Oryzias latipes: one gene and its partner. Each later gene encodes a partner of the first gene's protein in a complex. Links are inferred from orthologs where the notes say so. Each region holds a gene or a part of one and is shown on either strand. Other genes may lie near its edges.

Region 1 (4,539 bases):
TGTAATTAATGCGATATTTGACAGCCCTACAATAAATATGGTTTTAAATCACTAATACTTCTAATCCATCAACTGATAGACCCAGAATTAGACAAAACAGAACCTGAACACCGCTCTCACCTGTTCAGCTACTCCAGGATGGCGAGGGATCTCATAGGTGCGACATTTGAGTCTGAGAACAGGGTCCTCATGCAGTAACTGAGCCAGAAGCAGGACCCCACCCTGAAGACACAATTATTTTTATAATTACAAAACAGACTGACATTAGCAGTAATGCAGCCAGAAAACCAGCCTAAGTCCAACAGGTACCTCTGTGTAAAAGCGAACATAACCAGAAGTGAAGCCGACTACAACACAGGTCCAGTCCGGCCGCCCAGTGGAGCTTCTACACACAACAACAACAAGGTAAGTACACACAAATACACACTTTTTATGTCAACAGTCGACATATTTGCTCTGACCTCTTCTGGCTTGCCAGCGGAATTGCTATTGCACTGCTCACACACTCTCTGGAGAGAAAAACCCGTTTTAACTTCATCAGCATCTTTATTTATAAAGCACTTTAACACAAATGCCACTGTACAATAAAAGATAAACACGATAAAATTGTTAAAAACTAGTTTAATAAACTAATGAATACAAACATAAAGATAAAAGAAAACTTGAGATGTAAAATAACTGGGACTGCATCATTTTGCACGCCCAATATTTCTGTTTTTCATTTCATATCCAATAAATTTCTGCTGCAGGTAGGAACACAAAGTGAATAATAATTAGAGAATGTGGTTAAGGAGGGAGATTAAGTAATGACAAATAATAATTTAGAAAACCCTTAATGCCTTTTAAAGATATCAACTCTGTAGAACAAGAGGACAACAGGCATAAGTTTAATCTCTTTTTAAGTTAAAATAATGTAAAAATCTCTTTACCTCCTTAATCGTAGCTTTGCTTATTTTGTAAATACAGTGAGATTAGAACAGGACTACAGTACATAACAGAGTCCATCAGTCAAAGAGCCGCTTCAACTGAGAGCCAAACTAAAGCTTGGGTTGGTCTTTGACATGATGGAGAAGCTAAACTACTAAGAACATAAACAATCGGACCCCTCCTCAGTGCTGAGCGTTCCACTCCAAGAAAGCCCCAGGGTCATCTCCTCTCTGCCACTCTCATCTGTACGCCACTTGGCTGCAAAGACAAACACAGAGACACCTTTCAAATAAAAACTACTGCTAAGAGTCAGGCAGACTGTGTGTAAGGTCTGACCCGAGAGGAAAACCGCCTTCTGTTCCCGGGCCACCACCAGCAGGTCAGAGCAGGGAGAGAGGGAAACGATGCAGTCATGGAGCCAGGGTCCACTTGGTGCTGCACAGTCCTGCAGAGCAGAGACAAGCTTCACCTCTGTGCGTCACCATAGCAAATCCTAAAACATTAATAATAGAATAAAGCAAAAGGCCAGACCTGTGTGGAAGAAGCACCTTCCTGCACTTTATTATTCTCAGTGTCCCATGCTGATTCCCAATCTGAGGTGTCCCAGGAAAGTTCATTATCTGGAGAAGATTCCAACAAACGTCAGGAAGAGGATGTCTACATAGAGCTTAGAGGTTTTGTCTGTTTATTTCTCTGTCATAAACAGAAGGGAAAGATACTACTGACATAAACAGAAAGGAAGTGACTTAAGCTGTGTCCGAATTCCCATCCTAACCCCTAACTACTAAAAACTATTTAGTGTGGGACTATCTAATGCTCTGAATTTTAGTGAAGTGAAAGTCTAATTTATTTGAACGTTTTGTGACGATTATTTATGAATCCACTGAGTTCTGGAGATAAAAACGTTGATGGTTTATTTGAAAAATACAATTTTTGAAAGCAAAAATAGTTCAGACACAACGCATTGTGGTCTATATTCGCCAATCTAGTGAGCATCAATGCACACTGGTTTTCCGCAGAGACTTCTGGGAAATTTCTAGGGCACTGAATTTTGGAATTGTAGATTCGGACAGCACTACAAAACAGCGAACGCACTATATAGTGAAGGCATTCAGACACAACCTTAGTGTTGAGTGTTCTGGGGCGGCAGTGGCTTAGGTGGTTGAGGAGGTCAGACGGAGATGGAAGGGTCAGTGGTTTAAACCCCGTCCCCCTCAGTTAACTGCCACTGTGTCCTTGGGCAAGACCCTTCACCCTCCCTGGTGTGTGAATGTGCATGCATGAATGTCCAGGTGATGGTCAGAGGGGCCGTAAGCGCAAACTGGCAGCCACACCCCCGTCAGTCTGCCCCAGGGCAGCTGTGGCTACATCAGTAGTTACCATCACACAGTATGAATGAATGTCCGAGAGGAAAACCAGTCCAGTGGTACAGTTCCCAAATGCCACGCGATGCTGCAGAGAGACGTGTCAGCCAAGACACTCCCAGCATCCAGACACTTGAGGTACTCAGGGAGGACTTCGTCCACTCTCAGAGCCTTGCCACTGAGTCAGTGACTTCAGCTAACTAAATACATAAACACAATGTAATGAAAAACTACTAGTTATGATCGTTCATGGTCCAGATATGACATCCAAGCTGCATCTCTCACAATAACTTTACTGGGAAACCGGAAACATGAATGTGAGGAGTCTGTTTCACAAAAAAATGCCCGTCATCATCATGGCCACATTATATGTAACCTGCCGGCTAGAAATGTGCGGCGGGAGGCAAACACTTCACCTGCTTGGTTCCGCTCCTCCGCCGCATCGGGTTTCTGACCCTGGAACAAAAAGTCCCGAACGGTTCTGAGCTCTTGGAGCCGACCAAACTCCAGCAAGCTGCAAGACATCCCTGCCGCCCGGCCGATCCCGTCGGGAATCCAGCAGACGAGGGGTCGGACAGTTAGCCTTAGTTCCTGCTAAAGGCGCGGCAGAAGACTTCCGGTCACGTCCGGCGGCGCGTGAACTTTGTGATTCCCGACGACAAACGTCCAAGTCCCGTCGAGCAGCTCCTTCAGCGACCAGGACAGGGGTTTACTCTCGCCTGTTGTGTTGATGACACATCGTTAGCATCGGAACACTGCTGCTGTTGTGTTTCCGGGTCAGGGATCCATTTGGAATTTCAAAATAAAAGCATCGCAGGAGCCTCTTGTTTTTATCAGCAAAAAAAGCTGAGTTAAACTTTTTTCATTTGAAATCAGATGTGATCGTAATTCTTCTACACTTAATATGTTCCAGTGGTGTTTTTCTCTCAGCTGAGGTCGCTCCATCAACACTTTGGAGTTTGCTGCATGCAAAGCTTTTTGACATTAAAATGCGTTCAAATGTTTTATTTCCCTTCAATTCTTCACAGAAGGATCCAGATCCATGATAAATAATTAATGCAGAGCCTTCAGCTCTGATCTGCTTGCTCAGCTGTCGGACAGGACAAGTTTAAATGAAGGACGCAAATACATTACTATGCAATAAAATCAAAAAAGAAAAAAATCATCAGAGATTGTAAAATGTTTGCAGATATACACTTTACCAAAAGTCGTACACCTGAAGTTTATTTGACTAAGTACACAGTGATTGAATATAGTAAGTAGACTACAGTACTTGCATCTGGTATGTAGGAAGTATACTAACGAAATATTTCTAAATTGGAACATTTTTATTTTCCATAATTTAAAAAGTAAACTTCAAGAATACTGCCTAACTTTAAGTACAGACTAAGTTTACTCTGTAGTACACTTACATAGACAATCTCCTCCTGATCATTTAATGGCTTTGAGCCTTTTTTTTTTCCTCTTCTGGGTCTCGATTGTTCAAGCAGAAGTCCTTCCACTACCCTACATAGAAACATTATTCACAGAAGTCCTCGCGTTTTTAGCAACATTTCTGCATATATTTAAAAACTAGATGTAGTTTGTACTACTGGAACCCATCATAGTATAAAAAAACACATTTACAAAGGTGCAAACGTGAGCTGACACCTGTGCTCAGGTGAGTGTTTTTGTTCTACGGTGGTGGATGATGGAATGCTAAAAGAGTGGAGCACCCGGCTACCCCCACACCAAGACCCCTACTGCAGAAACAGTGGCAGCCAGGGCTCACCAGACACATAGCAGATCCAGATCCAGTAAACCACCCTCGACCAGGGGGGTCCCCACAGGGGCCACAGGACCGCCACAGGGGTCCCCAACGCCAAAGAGCAGGGGGGCACGGAGAATGCAAGCTCCAGCCCAGCCAGAAGAATAGCCCTCTCTGCACATCAGTGGACCCAGCATTGGACTCCACACACTGGAGAGCCCCCTCCCCCCAGCCCCAGACAAGCACCCCACCACCACCTGGAAGTTCTGAGCATCCCCCCACTCCAACCCCAGGGACGAACCAAGGCCCCCCAAGAGAGACCTGCCCCACGCTCCAGGCAACCACTTGTCCGACCTTGGGAAAGTCCAGGAGAGAGCAAGACAGGGGCCGCTCTCCCCACCCACGAGAGAAGTGGGGGTCCCCCACAAGTGAAGGGAACATGGGCCAACCAGGCTCCCAAACTGATGGAATTTTGGAGAGGGGGAGCGCTCGAGGGCAAGA
Region 2 (4,097 bases), on another chromosome or scaffold:
CAGAAGAGCCTCTGAGGCAGCGACCGGGAGTACGGCGCCGGCCGAGGGACGCACGTGCGCAGAAGGATCTCTCGGCCCGCTGGGGGTGGGAAATCCTTTTTGTCCCCTCCCACATCCTCGTCTGGCAAAGGGAGGAGCGCTGCCTGAAGGATCAGAGGTCAAAGGTCAAACGCAGCAGGACAAAGCAGTCAGGAACCAGAGTGTGAAGCTCATGAAATTAGAGCAGCTTAGGGAAGAAACACCTTTACATTAAAAGTTCACATCCCAACGCCCCTAAATATTACAAAGGCTGGACAACATCAGCACCAACCACCAGGGGGGTGGGCGGACACTCTGAGAAGGGTGGGGTTGCGTACCTGCTGTGCATTGACAAAAAGCCTGTGAATGATGCGGCCGGCTGGTCCCTGTCCAGCTCCGGTCACCTCCACCTCAGGCTCCTCCAGCAGGGAGCTCACAAACCTTTAAGACACAGGAGTTCTCATGAAGGTTCTGGAACCGCTAGTTAAAGAGGCAGACAGGGATGTAAAAGCACGTCATGCTGTTTCCACAGCAACATCGCTCACTCGACAACATACTCTAGAGGCCCAGCCTTCTTTCAGTTGAATCGATGGGATTTTAATGGCAGGAACGCTTCACATCGGTCAGTTTGAATTCTGGGAGCTGGAAGATAAACTCTGGACTCTCACAGTCAGGCTCCATCCCCACAGTCAGGCTCCACCCTCACAGCAAGGCTCCACCCACACAGCCAGGCTCCACCCACACAGCCAGGCTCCACCCACACAGCCAGGCTCCACCCTCACAGCAGGGCTCCACCCACACAGCAGGGCTCCACCCACACAGCAGGGCTCCACCCTCACAGCAAGGCCCCACCCTCACAGTCAGGCTCCACCCTCACAGCCAGGCCCCACCCTCACAGCCATTCCATCCTCACAGTCAGGCCCCACCCTCACAGCCAGGCTCCACCCACACAGCCAGGCTCCACCCTCACAGCCAGGCTCCACCCTCACAGCCAGGCTCCACCCACACAGCCAGGCTCCACCCTCACAGTCAGGCCCCACCCTCACAGCCAGGCTCCACCCTCACAGCCAGGCTCCACCCTCACAGCCAGGCTCCACCCTCACAGCCAGGCTCCACCCACACAGCCAGGCTCCACCCTCACAGCCAGGCTCCACCCTCACAGTCATGCTCCACCCTCACAGCCAGGCTCCACCCTCACAGCAAGGCCCCACCCTCACAGCAAGGCCCCACCCTCACAGCAAGGCTCCACCCACTAAGCCAGGCTCCACCCTCACAGTCAGGCTCCACCCTCACGGCCAGGCTCCACCCTCACGGCAAGGCTCCACTCTCCCGGCAAGCCTCCACCCACTAAGCCAGGCTCCACCCTCACAGTCAGGCTCCACCCTCACAGCCAGGCCCCACCCTCACAGCCAGGCTCCACCCACACAGCCAGGCTCCACCCTCACAGCCAGGCTCCACCCACACAGCCAGGCTCCACCCTCACAGCCAGGCTCCACCCTCACAGTCAGGCTCCACCCTCACAGTCATGCTCCACCCTTACAGCCAGGCTCCACCCTCACAGTCAGGCTCCACCCTCACAGTCATGCTCCACCCTCACAGCCAGGCTCCACCCTCACAGCAAGGCCCCACCCTCACAGCAAGGCTCCACCCACTAAGCCAGGCTCCACCCTCACAGCCAGGCTCCACCCTCACAGCCAGGCTCCACCCACACAGCCAGGCTCCACCCTCACAGCAGGGCTCCACCCACACAGCCAGGCTCCACCATCACAGCCAGGCTCCACCCTCACAGCAAGGCTCCACCATCACAGCAAGGCTCCACCCTCACAGCCAGGCTCCACCATCACAGCAAAGCTCCACCCACACAGCCAGGCTCCACCCTCACAGCCAGGCCCCACCCACACAGCCAGGCTCCACCCTCACAGTCAGGCTCCACCCTCACAGCAAGGCTCCACCCTCACAGCAAGGCCCCACCCTCACAGTCAGACCCCACCCTCACAGCCAGGCTCCACCATCACAGCCAGGCTCCACCATCACGGCAAGGCTCCACCCTCACGGCAAGGCTCCACTCTCACGGCAAGGCTCCACCCTCACAGCAAGGCTCCACCCACACAGCCAGGCTCCACCCTCACAGCCAGGCTCCACCCTCACAGTCAGGCTCCACCCTCACAGCCAGGCTCCACCCTCACAGCCAGGCTCCACCCTCACAGTCAGGCTCCACCCTCACAGCCAGGCTCCACCCTCACAGCCAGGCTCCACCCTCACAGTCAGGCTCCACCCTCACAGCCAGGCTCCACCATCACAGCAAGGCTCCACCGACACAGCCAGGCTCCACCCTCACAGCCAGGCTCCACCCTCACAGCCAGGCTCCACCCTCACAGCCAGGCTCCACCATCACAGCAAGGCTCCACCCTCACAGCCAGGCTCCACCATCACAGCAAAGCTCCACCCACACAGCCAGGCTCCACCCTCACAGCCAGGCCCCACCCACACAGCCAGGCTCCACCCTCACAGTCAGGCTCCACCCTCACAGCAAGGCCCCACCCTCACAGCAAGGCCCCACCCTCACAGTCAGACCCCACCCTCACAGCCAGGCTCCACCATCACAGCCAGGCTCCACCATCACGGCAAGGCTCCACCCTCACGGCAAGGCTCCACTCTCACGGCAAGGCTCCACCCTCACGGCAAGGCTCCACCCACACAGCCAGGCTCCACCCTCACAGCCAGGCTCCACCCTCACAGTCAGGCTCCACCCTCACAGCCAGGCTCCACCCTCACAGCCAGGCTCCACCCTCACAGTCAGGCTCCACCCTCACAGCCAGGCTCCACCCTCACAGCCAGGCTCCACCCTCACAGCCAGGCTCCACCCTCACAGTCAGGCTCCACCCTCACAGCCAGGCTCCACCATCACAGCAAGGCTCCACCATCACAGCAAGGCTCCACCGACACAGCCAGGCTCCACCCTCACAGCCAGGCTCCACCCACACAGCCAGGCTCCACCCTCACAGCCAGGCTCCACCCTCACAGTCAGGCTCCACCCTCACAGCCAGGCTCCACCCACACAGCCAGGCTCCACCCTCACAGCCAGGCTCCACCCTCACAGCCAGGCTCCACCATCACAGCAAGGCTCCACCATCACAGCAAGGCTCCACCGACACAGCCAGGCTCCACCCTCACAGCCAGGCTCCACCCACACAGCCAGGCTCCACCCTCACAGCCAGGCTCCACCCTCACAGTCAGGCTCCACCCTCACAGCCAGGCTCCACCCACACAGCCAGGCTCCACCCTCACAGCCAGGCCCCACCCTCACAGTCAGGCTCCACCCTCACAGCCAGGCTCCACCCTCAAAGTCAGGCTCCACCTCCACACTCAGGCTCCACCCCCTAAGTCAGACTCACTTCTTGAGCTCGGTGGCCTCGCTCTGGTCTTCATTGTTGAAGGTGAACTTGGCCTTCAGCGATCGAGCCTGAGCGATGGCCGTTTCCATTCCTGCCAGTTGCTTCACAAACTCCTGCAGGCAGACAGACTAGTTCAGGAAAAAATAACCCTAACCCATTTCATCATAGAAAGTCATTTCATCAAATATTTCAAAAACTGTGGGAAAAAAACAGAACTGAAAAGAAGAAGCTTCAATAATGATCAACTTATCAAATCAGAGAATTTATCCGCAGTTTGTAAAACTCTGAGGTGAATTTCTAACGAACTCCTGCTACTCTGCAGAAACTTCGTTTCTGTATCTAGGCTAAAAACTGCATATTTCTTGTTAAAAAGCTACAGGAAACACAAAATTGGATACCAAAAGATGTCAGAGTGGGACTTGAATAAAAAGCAGTTTTGTGGCTGTTAAGCATTTAGAATGAAAATGAAGCTGATGAGTGAAGATCCATCCATGATGAGGAAACGCCGCTGGACTCACTGTCACTAACCTCAAACCTCTTGTAGTCTAGGTTGGTGGAGTGCAGCAGCTTGTTGACCTGACTGGCAGCTTGTTGAATGCTTTTCCTCACGGCTGGAACATTCTCTGCTGCCTCTGAGGCCCAGGAACAAATATGGAGGAATGATGATTAAAACAAAAGAAGGAA

Evidence for each region.
Region 2: the proteins of rab3gap2 (region 1) and rab3gap1 are in contact, whole or in part, in a cryo-EM structure (PDB 8VYB), measured with the Homo sapiens proteins. The link is inferred for Oryzias latipes from reciprocal best matches to the Homo sapiens genes RAB3GAP2 and RAB3GAP1. Residues at the interface, in NP_036546.2 of Homo sapiens: Arg197, His198, Pro199, Gly200, Ser276, Pro277, Phe278, Asp279, Met281, Lys282, Ser285, Asn286, Ile287, Gly289, Phe290, Asn291, Ala292, Ile294, Arg377, Phe378, Gly379, Leu380, Pro381, Asp382, Arg385, Cys395, Thr397, Leu398, Arg407, Arg415; in NP_036365.1 of Homo sapiens: Thr19, Ser21, Trp23, Glu24, Glu142, Ser143, Asn146, Leu147, Leu149, Ser150, Ser153, Ile154, Ile169, His170, Trp173, Arg174, Met176, Arg187, Asp189, Glu191, Met192, Val193, His194, Leu195, Arg196, Pro199, Tyr202, Ile211, Ser214, Lys215.

What each region holds. Positions count from the first base shown.
Region 1 is NC_019880.2:20,252,363-20,256,901, reverse strand, and holds the start of rab3gap2 (rab3 GTPase-activating protein non-catalytic subunit), read right to left. Parts: upstream 3,074-4,539; 5' UTR 2,817-3,073; coding exon 2,708-2,816; intron 1,548-2,707; coding exon 1,459-1,547; intron 1,373-1,458; coding exon 1,264-1,372; intron 1,186-1,263; coding exon 1,104-1,185; intron 510-1,103; coding exon 462-509; intron 386-461; coding exon 310-385; intron 223-309; coding exon 121-222; intron 1-120. UniProt on the Homo sapiens protein: Regulatory subunit of the Rab3 GTPase-activating (Rab3GAP) complex composed of RAB3GAP1 and RAB3GAP2, which has GTPase-activating protein (GAP) activity towards various Rab3 subfamily members (RAB3A, RAB3B, RAB3C and RAB3D), RAB5A and RAB43, and guanine nucleotide exchange factor (GEF) activity towards RAB18.
Region 2 is NC_019877.2:24,428,788-24,432,884, forward strand, and holds part of rab3gap1 (rab3 GTPase-activating protein catalytic subunit), read right to left. Parts: intron 4,046-4,097; coding exon 3,942-4,045; intron 3,527-3,941; coding exon 3,414-3,526; intron 460-3,413; coding exon 357-459; intron 144-356; coding exon 1-143. UniProt on the Homo sapiens protein: Catalytic subunit of the Rab3 GTPase-activating (Rab3GAP) complex composed of RAB3GAP1 and RAB3GAP2, which has GTPase-activating protein (GAP) activity towards various Rab3 subfamily members (RAB3A, RAB3B, RAB3C and RAB3D), RAB5A and RAB43, and guanine nucleotide exchange factor (GEF) activity towards RAB18.